3 linked regions of the Lonchura striata genome follow. The protein of the gene in region 3 interacts with the protein of the main gene of each other region in a biochemical or structural test. Links are inferred from orthologs where the notes say so. Each region holds a gene or a part of one and is shown on either strand. Other genes may lie near its edges.

Region 1 (3,741 bases), on a different chromosome or scaffold from region 3:
TGATAGATAACACAGAGAAGACAAATTTTAAGTTCCCCTGAAGTTGCTGAATAGATCAGCTAACAAAAAATGATAAAAGAATGTGAAAGTGTGCACACAGGATGATAAATGGGCTCGAACCAGTAGATAAACTGATAATGAGGAATATAGTGGCTTCTTGGGCCAAGTTATCTCAAAAGAAGCAGCAGTACATGCCCTAAGAGAAGTTCAAGGAAAGGTCATCTGTAATATTGGGGGCACTTGGTGAGTACAAAGACCCCTTCAGACTACCCTTTAGGGACATTAAAAGGCTTTGAGTAGGAGAGAAGAAGGCAGATGCATGCAAACTAGTTCTGTGAAAAGTGATGTTTATGTATTAGCCAGAAGTACACTGTAATCAGTATGTATGATCATGATGGAATAAATAACTTGTACCTTCTGGAAGCACATCAGATTAACAGAGCTATCGTTCTGATGTGTCCAGCACGGTAATAAAGAGTGTCTGTTGTCTGATACTTAAAATTGTGTTAGAAAGTTTGTTGTCTGATTTCAGTATGGGACCAACATTGCCTCGAACGTTTCCAGGGTTGGGACATCCACAATTCTCTGGGTAACCTTCTCCAATGTCTCACCAGCACAATACTTAAGGCCTTTGATTCAATACAATGTTCTGTCTAAACAAGAATTGTACTTTTCTGTTGTATCTTTTTAATTGTACCAATCACCAAATAGCTTCAGTCAGGTAATGTGGTGGTATTGCTGTGATCGGCCAAGCCAAATACAGGCCAAGACTCACAGCCTCTCACCTGCACGTAGGGCAGGGAGAAGGGTGACCTCTTTTAATGTGTTGTCCAAGGGACAAAGACGTCTCACCGAATCACAGAATGAGTCAGGTTGGAAGGGACCACAGTGGGTCATCTGGGCCGACATCCCTTCTCAAGCAGGGTCATTCTAGAGCACATGGCACAGGACCGTATCCAAACAGTTCTTAAGCATCTCCAGCGAGGGAGACTCCACACCCTTTCTGTGCAACCCGAGGGTTCAGAGCACGGTCACCCACACAGTGAAGAAGTTTTTCCTCAAATTCAAGAGGAACTTCCCAGCCTTCCTCTCACCCGGACAGAGCCAGGTACCGCCCAGGTGAGAGAGAGCGGCCGCGGGTGCCGAGGAGAGGGCGGGGCTCCCGGGACGAGGTGGGCGGGGCAGCGTTCGCCGCACGTAGCGGGGCGGGGCGGAGCGGGGCGGGGCGGGTCGGGGCGGGCTGCGGGCGGGGCGGGGCAGTCCGGGGCGGGGCGGAGCGGGAGCGTCCGTCCGTTGGCGGCGCGCGGGCGTCCGTTGGCGGCGCGGCGGGGCAGGCGCCGGTAGGCGGCGGCGGCGCGGGCGGGAAGCGGCGGGGCTGCTCCGCCTCTCTTCGCCTCTCCGGCGGCGACCGGCGCAGGACAATGGAAGAGGCGGCGCGGGCGTTAGCAGCTGCGGTAGCGGTGGCGGCGGGGGGGCCGTGCCCGGCGGACAGACCGGGGGCAGCAGCGGCGCTGAGCGGGGAGAACGAGGCCGAGAGCCGGCAGGGCCCGGCGGAGCGCGGCGGGGACGCGGCGCCGCTCAACCTGTTGGACACTTGCGGCGTGTGCGGGCAGTCCATCCAGAGCCGGCGGCCGAAGCTGCTGCCGTGCCTGCACTCGGTGTGCCAGCGCTGCCTGCCGCCGCCGGACCGGTACCTGATGCTGCCCCCCGTCCTGACCCCCGCGGCTGCCGCCGCCCTCAAGGAGCCGCCGCCGGCGGCGCCTCCCTCCTCGCCCGTCTCTTCGCAAGCCTCACCGATGCACTGCACGCCCAGTAAGTGACCCTTCTCCCTCTCTGCCCGTACCCCCTTGCCGCTGCCCGGGGTGCTGCCCGCTCCAGCCCGGAGGCCCGTGTGGGGACGGGAGCTGTCGGGACCGGGTGCCGTGGGCGGGGTGCGGGTGTCCGGCCGCGGAGCTGCCGGGATAGGAGATGCTCGCCAGCGCCAAGGCTGGCGGCGGGGTTGTGCTGTGGCTCGGTTTGTTTTAATCGCTGTTTTTTAAATTTCCCACCTTGGGAGGGAAGGCAGAACTCCCGTGCTTTCTCAGGACCGGGGCGTTGAGAGCCGGGCTCCCGCTGCGGGCGGTGGGCGCGGGCCGGGCGGCTGCTCTCGGGGAGCCGGCAGGCTCTGGCCCCTGGCCGGCAAAGAAGCCGAGCACCGGCTGATCTGATGACAAGGCACAGGAACGTAGCGGCAGGACAGGCTCTTCCTGAGGGGAGTCCTGCAGGTGTCATCCGCCGGCCTGGGCGGGGACCGGGGCGGCCGAACAATAACAACACTTGTTGGGGCCGTGGGCAGCCCGGGCGGCTCTGCTGATGCGCTTATGCGCCATTTACTTGCTAATTACCGCGAGGAAGTTTTGTTACGCTCGTGTGCCGACACAGTAGCCTCTGTCAATATGATTGAAAAGTACATGTCGCTGTAGAAGGTGTGGAATAAACTCCTTCCGTTTAAAGCTACTTTCCTAATGTTTTTGATTTTTTTTCCCCCCTAGCCCTCCTAGGCTGGGTGTAATGGATCGCTTAGTTTTGTTAAAGGCAATTTCGTCCTGTTGTGGAAGCTGGTGAAGGTCTTGGAAAAACTTGTTTAGGAAAGAGGAAGTGTGATGGAAATTGAGCTAATCGATAGGTATTAGTGGAGGTTGTACTTGTTGGAATATGTAGTGAGAGATCAGGTGAAAAGTAGTAGCTCCAGGTTGACATTCTTATGTTCTTTAAGTGGAGTTAGGAATACTTCTTCATCCTGCCAGAGTTCTGACCAAAGATTACCACTCGAATATGTAAAGTGTTTGCAGAAATTCTTAAAGGAAACGCCTTCTTCAGAGAAAGAAATACTTGGAACAGCTAGAGATTTGCTTCAGAACATCTGAGGAGCTCCCAAGTATGTTAACAGGATATGCTGAACCTCTTCATCTATGCGAGTGTCTGTGTTAGTATATTCATTCAGTCTTTAATTTTAGCATGTAAAGTATGTCGTAGTCAGACTGCCTAATCAAGTTACAGAGTGGGAAAATCTGTGAGACCCAAAGCCCGTATACTTATACTTGATTGATTCAAGACATGTTACTGCTCATATGTCTATAAGTGGGAGGGAGATTCTGGGAGGAACAGAAAAAGCACAAACTCTGGAGTTTAATGAGGTATTTCAGGTGAGATACTTGGAAATAGGAAAGAGGGTATAGATACAAGCTCAGGAGTTTGCAAGGTAGTGTAAGAAGCAATATTATCATTGTCTTCTGAGATTTGAGGTCATGAACAATACAGGTCCATTCCCAGATGTTCTTTATAAATATAGCAGAAATAGGGATCTGTAGCTGAATGAGAAATGAGATGCATCATAAGAATTAAAACATCAGTGCTGTTCAAACATCTGCTTGATAATGAATCACAGCAACAGTGAGCTTGTAGCTCTGCTCCCTCCTTTTGATTACGAGTTGGTTCTTTATATTAATGATTTCACAGTACATACTCCTCCTTCTAAAGATTTGCAGACATACTGTACTTTTGGTGACAATTATTTTTACCCTTTTGACTTTTCTCCCAAGCTACTTTCATGCTTCCATACTAGAGTTCATTGTGCAGTTGGAAGAAGAAACTTACACTCACCCTGAGTATTTTTTGTATCTTTACTGGTCATGTGTTTGACTTGGTTAAAATGACAGGGACTGTGTATTAGCTAGCTATGGCCAAACTGAAGTGCATTGT
Region 2 (3,741 bases), on a different chromosome or scaffold from region 3:
ATCTTAGATTAATTTTAAACTCCAGCAGCATTACTCTAATTAGCATGGGCACAAGACAATCTAAGTTATCTTCATCCTCTTGAGCTAAACCTCCAGCTCTCCATGCAGGAACACGCTGACTCCGTGGCTGAAATGCTCAGTTATCTGCAATTAATGGGTGGCTCCTCCTGAAGAACATCAGAGACCTGCTCCTGAGGGGACAACAGAGTCTGCAACAGTGTCAAGACAAAGCACAAAATATCCACGGCTCTGCTAAAGCAAAGGTGACTTGCTTGTCTGGCTGGTGGAAATGGAGAGACTCACCCAGAGATGGAAAACCTCATCTTCCCTGCTGCCTCAACTTGGTATCACCTGGGGTTATTTCTCCTTCCACTGCTGGTCCTCACCTATTCCCAGCCCTACACATTCTTTCTCATTCCTTCTGGTCCAGCTGGTGCATTAAGGAAAAAGCTGAGGCTTGAATACAGTTTTTGCAGCACTGAGGGTGAAGTCCTGCTGCTCAGTGCTCTACAACCAGCAGGCCTCCTGTTCCCTCACACTGTCCCTGCACCACAGCTTTGCATTTCTCAACAGAGACCACAGGACTTTGAAAGACACCCTCATCATGCCTTCTGCCCTTCAGAGGTTCGCTAGCAACCTATAAAATTTCGCCATTCTCAATGCAAACTGTTACAGTCACATTAACTCTTCAATCCCTTCAGCAGCAAATCCTTTGCCACTGCAAATCTAGTAAATTTAGTGAGTGTCTAATTGGGTGGTAACTCCAGCTTCCATCCGAAAGCAATTGCTCTTGTACTAAGAAAATAAAAATATACTGCCACTTTAAGGTTTAGTTATCACACTGAAACATTTAACATCTCCCATAAAAGCAGGAACCTTTGTTGTGCTCAGGCAGCACAAAGAGTGGCATTACAGCTGCTCAGCACAATTTACCTCCACAACCTGTATTGTCAAATATTTAAGCCACTGAAAAATGGAAACACCAACACTTCCAGATGCACAAGGACTTGGAATTCTTATGTCAGAGAAGCATCTACTTTTTTACTAGAAAAATGTTAAATTACTCCATCACCTGGAAGCCTGTTGTAAACAACCAAGTCCTACAAGTCCTCCAAGTCCTACTACAGAAGGACAGGCCTTCCAGAGAAAATGGCTGGAGAGCGCTGCTGAGAGATTTTCAGCCCAAATCCAATGCCTAACAGAAGACCCTTCCTTGGGTTTCAAATACTAAGAAATGTAATTTCTCAACTGAAGATGAGGTATGCGTGCAGCCAGCCCCTCACGTTCGGATCTTTCCTCTCCCAGGAGAGTCCGGACACAGTGTTACTATAAAACATTTCCTCTTGGAGCCAGGTAAGTTTCAGAGGAAGCCACAGGGCTCAGTGGATACTTAGAATCTCTGGCAAACACCTCGCCAGGCCCAGACCTGGCCCTTCTGAACACACGCTTCAAAACCTTTGTTTCTCGCTCCACAAGATACCTAGAAAAGCTGGGACCATCTGCTACAACTTGAAAAGAGCTGCCAAATCCAAATCTTGTGGTCATTACACTTGGTAACCTTTATGGAAGGTGCCAGATTTGTTCTTTGTGTTTGTTTCCACACACAGGAAATACTGAAAGGCGCCTTAGCTAAAAATCCAGCCAGAACAACACACAATAATTACAAGACCACCAAGAGGCACGTTCTTCTAAGAGAGGTTTTACTACAATAAAACCTCGTATAAAGGTTTCCCTACAGTTCCCAGTGAGGGGAATGATCAAACATGTGTCTATAAGGAGGCTGAGGGGTTATGGAGAGACAAAGCTCATGAAGCTCCAACCTGTTGCCAGGATGCAGAGCCACAGAAGAGCTCTGTCCTTCCATTCCCCAAAGCAGCGGGAAGGAAGCAGAGCTCTGAGCTTCCTGAGATGGTTTTAAAGTAGCTGGCATTTAGAGAAACGCAGAAATCACACGGCGAGGAGGAGTGGAGAGCCTTTTTCCGACTGGTTTAAGACTCACCGAGGACGCGAACAAAAGCGAAACGTCAACGCGCCCCGGCTGACACGGCACAAAGCCGTCACCGCCCGCATGAGGTCAGGGCAGAGGGACCGGCTCGCGCAGCGGCCGGCCCGCGGGCAGCGCCCGCGCCGGACAGCGCCGCCGGCCCGGCCGCGGTCCCTCCCGGGCCGGCGGGGCCGGGCCGAGCCGCGGCCCGGGAGCGCGGCCGGGCCGAGCGCGGCCGGGCAGGGGCGGCTCCGCGCCGGGGCCGCGGGCGGCTCGGCCGCGCGCTGACAGGCTCCGGCCGGGCGCCGCGGCTCCGCCGGCACCGCCGAGACGCCGCCGGCGGCCCGGGCCACCGGCTCGGCTCCGCTCCGCGCCCCGCCGGGCCCCGCCGCCCCTTCCCCCGCGCCGCGGGCTCGGCCTGCGCCCCGCCCGGGCCGGCCCCGGCCCCGGCCCCGGCCCCGCCGCGGCCGCGTGCCGACCCCCGCCCCGCCCCGCCCTCCCCTCACCTGGACCCGCCGCCGCCGCCGCCGGGGGCGCGCGCGGAGCCGCGGGGGCGCGCGGGGCGGGGGTCGCGCGCGGCCCGGGACTCCAGCGCCGCTCCGCCGCCTGCGCCGCGCACGTGACCCGCGCGCGCCTGCGCCCGAGCGCGCGGGGCGGGGGGGGCACCGCGACCCCCGGGGAGAGCGCGGGACACAGCGGGGACACCGGGACCGGGACACAGCGGGGACACCGGGACACAGCGGGGACACCGGCACCGGGACACAGCGGGGACACCGGGACCGGGACACAGCGGGGACACCGGGACACAGCGGGGACACCGGGACTGAGACCGGGACACAGCGGGGACACCGGGACACAGCGGGGACACCGGGACCGGGACACAGCGGGGACACCGGGACCGGGACCGGGACCGGGACCGGGACACAGCGGGGACACCGGGACCGGGACACAGCGGGGACACCGGGACACAGCGGGGACACCGGCACCGGGACACAGCGGGGACACCGGGACCGGGACACAGCGGGGACACCGGGACACAGCGGGGACACCGGGACTGAGACCGGGACACAGCGGGGACACCGGGACACAGCGGGGACACCGGGACCGGGACACAGCGGGGACACCGGGACCGGGACCGGGACCGGGACCGGGACACAGCGGGGACACCGGGACCGGGACACAGCGGGGACACCGGGACACAGCGGGGACACCGGGACTGAGACCGGGACACAGCGGGGACACCGGGACACAGCGGGGACACCGGGACCGGGACACAGCGGGGACACCGGGACCGGGACCGGGACCGGGACCGGGACACAGCGGGGACACGGGCACCGGGACACAGCGGGGACACCGGGACCGGGACACAGCGGGGACACCGGGACACAGCGGGGACACCGGGACCGGGACACAGCGGGGACACCGGGACCGGGACCGGGACACAGCGGGGACACCGGGACCGGGACACAGCGGGGACACCGGGACCGGGACACAGCGGGGACACCGGGACACAGCGGGGACACCGGGACCGGGACCGGGACCGGGACACAGCGGGGACACCGGGACACAGCGGGGACACCGGGACCGGGACCGGGACCGGGACCTGGACACAGCGGGGACACGGGCACCGGGACACAGCGGGGACACGGGCACCGGGACACAGCGGGGACACCGGGACACAGCGGGGACACGGGCACCGGGACCGGGACACAGCGGGGACACCGGGACCGGGACACAGCGGGGACACCGGGACCGGG
Region 3 (3,741 bases):
CCAGGAGCAGACACCTGATGTACCTGGGGGGGCCAAACCGCTCCATGCCACCACCAGCACCACCGCGACCCACCGCGTCGCGCCCGGGCTGGCAGGCAGGCAGCCGTGTGCCATGTCCCCTGTCACTGCCGGGCAGCCGGGGCTCAGAGGGGACAGCGGAGGCCACGGCGGGCGCACGCGGCCCCTCGCCGGGCCCTGCCACGAGCCACCCCCCGCTAAGCCGCCTCCAGCCGCAGGGAGATTAACCCATTTTCCGTAATCAGCACATGTGTCACCGCAGATATGATCGCACCCCCCGCGCTCGCTGCGCTCCCCCCGGGGCTGGCGCTGCCAGGGGGCCCTGCGGCACAGGGGTGCCCCACGGCACGGGGCACCTTGAGGCTCCAGGCACGCACTGCAGAGCACTCACAGTTCCTCCAGCCCTGACGTGCTGCAGCAGCGCCCCAAAAAGGGCCGGGGGACCCCAGAGGCCAGCCATCCTCTTCATGGCAGCACTGGCATCGGCGCTGGATTTTGCCAAGACAGTGGCTCAGGGCACGGCGGCTCAGGGCACGCGCGGCCAAATGTGGCACGTTGTCACACCAGAACCTCCTGGATATAAATAGATCCAGAGCGGCGGGATGGTGAATCCCAGCGCCGCAGGGCAGGCGGTGGCGGTGGCACAGCCGTCCCCAGGCTCTGTGGCAGCGACGCTGCTCCTGCCACAGGGACCGAGCGCGGGGACACGGAGGATGTGTGAGGACAGCTGGGTGAAGCCAGGTGTCCCTGTGGGATGGAGCAGCCACACCAGGCGGCTCCGGATGAGGCGCAGGGCACTGCCCTGCTCCTGTCATCCCACTGTCGGTGGCTGTGTCACCGTGTCACCTAGGGGGGCTGCAAGCAACGGGGAAAAAGGGGCCAGACACCCATCAGGACACCCGCGGGCATCCCTGGTGCGAGCACCCACGGGAGCAGGCGCTCCCTCGAGCCGCAGCAAGGTCACCCCCAAGGGCAGGGTGGGGGCCCACGGGTGACATATGGCCCGGGAGCAGTGGCCGCGGGGCCGCTAAGCCACCGAGCCGTCACCCGTTAATCCCGGTGCGAGGACGCGGCGGGTGCCGCACCCGGGGCCACCGGCCGGTGCCTGCCCGGTTCCCCGAGCGGAGGGACCGGCTGGGGGAACCCCCGTGTCCCCCCCAGCACCCGCCGCGCCGCGGGGCGGCCCCTGCCACCAACGAGGTCAAAGGTCAGAGGCACAGATTTGGGGGACAGAGGCACGGATTTGTCTCCGCACCGCCCTGCCCCGGCCCGGGGCGCTGCTCCCCGCCCCCGAGGGGGGTCCCCGCTCTGTCGGGGTTGAGTACCCGGGGGACTGCACCCCCAAATCCCCCACCCCGCCCCGAGCCCGCGGGGGCTCCGCCGCCCGCAGCCCGGCCCCGGGCAGCTGCTGCGGGAGGGAGGCGGCGGCCGGCGGTCCCTTCCCCGGCCCCGCCGCCCCCCGCCCGGCTCCCCCGGGCCCCCCCGCCCGCCGCCGCCCTGTCAGCCGCGCAGAGCGATGGCTTCCTCCGCCCGCCGGCCAGGAAACGGCGCAGACGCCGCTCCCGCCCCCCGGCCCCCGGCGCCCCCCGCGCTCCCGGCCCCGCTCCCCCGCCGGGCCCCGGCCCCGCCGCACCCCGAAAGGGGAAGCGGCCCCGGCCCCCCCCCGCCGCGGGAGGATGGGGGGGGATGTGGCTGCGCGCACCGGCGGCCCCGGAGAGCCCGGTAATCCCGGGGTGGTCTCCCCAGCACCGCGCTCTGCGGCGGTGCTCCGGTCCCCGGTGGGGTGTAGAGGCTAGCGGAGCCGCCCCGGAGCCCGCCCCGGAGTGGGGGCGCAGCGCTGCCGCCCGGGAGCGCCCAGGCAGTCGGTACCGGGAAAGGGAACTCCGGCACCCCCAAGCCCAGTGTAAGAGGCAGAGGCCAAAGCCGCGATCTCGAACCCGCTGCGGCTCCGGTGCTCCCGGCAGCCGCAGCCCGGCGGAGTCCCTCCCCCGCTGCGGGAACCCCGGGATCACCCGTTACCGGAGGGGGATCCCCAGAGGCGGTACCGGAGCCGCATCAAGACCCTCCTTCCCAACCCCGCTCCCACGGGCAGATCCAGAGCCCCCTCATTACCTGCTCGCGGAGACTCCAACACCGAAATCCTTAAACCCGGGGAGTTCCCGGTGGTGGCTGCATGGCGGCGGCACCGGGAAGGAGCTGGGGGGGAAGGGGGGGCTTCGCCCCGGCTTAGAGGGGTGAGGGAGGGGTGGGGTGGGGGTTCCCGGGGGGGTTCACCGAGCGGCGGCCGCGGCCATTGCGAGTCATGTGCTCGCGGGGAAACTTTACCCGGGGCTGGGCCGGGCGGGGCAGCGGCGGCGGCGGCGGCGGCGGCGGCGGCGGAGGGCGGGGGGAGCGGGAGGAGGACACGCCCCTCCCCGTGGCCACGCCCCCGCCCCGGCCCAGCGGCCAATGGGGCGCGGGCGGGGGCGGGGCGGGGGCGGGGCCGGCGCCGCTCAGTGACTCTTTGAAGTCTCCAGAAAGCGGAAGGGGAGAAAGTGGGTGCGCGCGCCGCGCCGGCCGGGGGGGGGGCTCTTAAAGGGGCCGCGCACCGCGACTTCGATGCCACTCTTACCCTTCTTCTCCGCCCCCGACCCACCACACCACTCACAGGAGGAGGTGCTCCAACGACCCCCACCCACCCCCACCCCCAGCCCGCTTCCCTCTTCTCTGCCTCTGGATACCCAACCCCCCCCTCCAGGTGGGGGATTGGGGCGCCCACATGAGGGAAAACACAGGGGTGGGTGCTCCAGGGGTGTAGGGAAGAGATGGGAACACATTGAGGGGAAGAGGGGAGAGGGATAGGGAGTTCCTGGGTTGCCCCCCCAGGCTCAGAGGGGAAGAGCTGGGGGCACCTGTGGCACCCCGGGGGTATAGAGTGGTGCCTGTACCCAGAGGAATTCCCTGTTCTGTCTGTCCCTGGAGAGATGCTGATTCTAGGAAGGGGATGGCGATGGAGATACGGACATGGACACAGGCTACCCAGCCACATTCTGGCAGCCCAGAAAGGGCACCCAATGCCCTGCACCCACCAGCACAGCCCAGACCCTGGGAGGGCTGGGAGGGCAGCGGGGCAGGAGCTCCCCTGCGAAGGCACACATGTGAGGAGTGTAGGCAGCTTCACCACAAGCCCCGGGGGGAGTCACACTAGCCCTGCCGCCGCTGCCCAGAGCCCTGGGATACCTGTCAGGATCCCACGGTACCCACACAGGAGGGTGATGGCCCGCCAGGCCACTCAGCACATTCCCGTGCCTCAGTTTCCCCCGTGTGCTCACCAGAACGATGTTGTACACCCCGGCCGGGGCACCCCCAGCCGGGAGCAGCCGCTGGGCCCCTCCCCGCACACCGGGGCCGCGGCGGCGAGGCCCAGGCGCCGGCATGTGCTCAGCCCAGTGGAATGTGCCAAATCACTCCCAGATGTGCACGGCGGCCAGCCCGACCCCCCCCCACCCCACTCCGCTCCCACCGGGGCAGCCACCGGCCACCGGGGACCCCCGAGCGCAGCCCCGCGGCACCGAGCCCACCGCCGGCCGCGGGGCCCGGCCCCGTCCGTGCCGCGGCGTCGCGGCCCCGAGGCGCGGCGGGGCGGGCAGGGCAGCGGCGGGAGGCGCCGCCGGCACCGGGTGGCCGCGTCCCCGGTGCCACCGGCGCCCCGCAGACCGCGGGCGGCGCGGGGTCGTGCGGGGC

The links.
Region 1: the proteins of RARA (region 3) and TRIM24 form a complex in vitro, tested with the Homo sapiens proteins (3 studies listed by BioGRID). The link is inferred for Lonchura striata from reciprocal best matches to the Homo sapiens genes RARA and TRIM24.
Region 2: the proteins of RARA (region 3) and NCOA6 form a complex in vitro, tested with the Homo sapiens proteins (3 studies listed by BioGRID). The link is inferred for Lonchura striata from reciprocal best matches to the Homo sapiens genes RARA and NCOA6.

The regions. Positions count from the first base shown.
Region 1 is NC_134607.1:230,181-233,921, forward strand, and holds the start of TRIM24 (transcription intermediary factor 1-alpha), read left to right. Parts: upstream 1-1,421; coding exon 1,422-1,812; intron 1,813-3,741. UniProt on the Homo sapiens protein: Transcriptional coactivator that interacts with numerous nuclear receptors and coactivators and modulates the transcription of target genes.
Region 2 is NC_134619.1:14,165,091-14,168,831, reverse strand, and holds the start of NCOA6 (nuclear receptor coactivator 6), read right to left. Parts: upstream 2,563-3,741; 5' UTR 2,491-2,562; intron 1-2,490. UniProt on the Homo sapiens protein: Nuclear receptor coactivator that directly binds nuclear receptors and stimulates the transcriptional activities in a hormone-dependent fashion. Coactivates expression in an agonist- and AF2-dependent manner.
Region 3 is NC_134627.1:6,948,496-6,952,236, forward strand, and holds the start of RARA (retinoic acid receptor alpha), read right to left. Parts: upstream 2,256-3,741; 5' UTR 2,131-2,255; intron 1-2,130. UniProt on the Homo sapiens protein: Receptor for retinoic acid. Retinoic acid receptors bind as heterodimers to their target response elements in response to their ligands, all-trans or 9-cis retinoic acid, and regulate gene expression in various biological processes.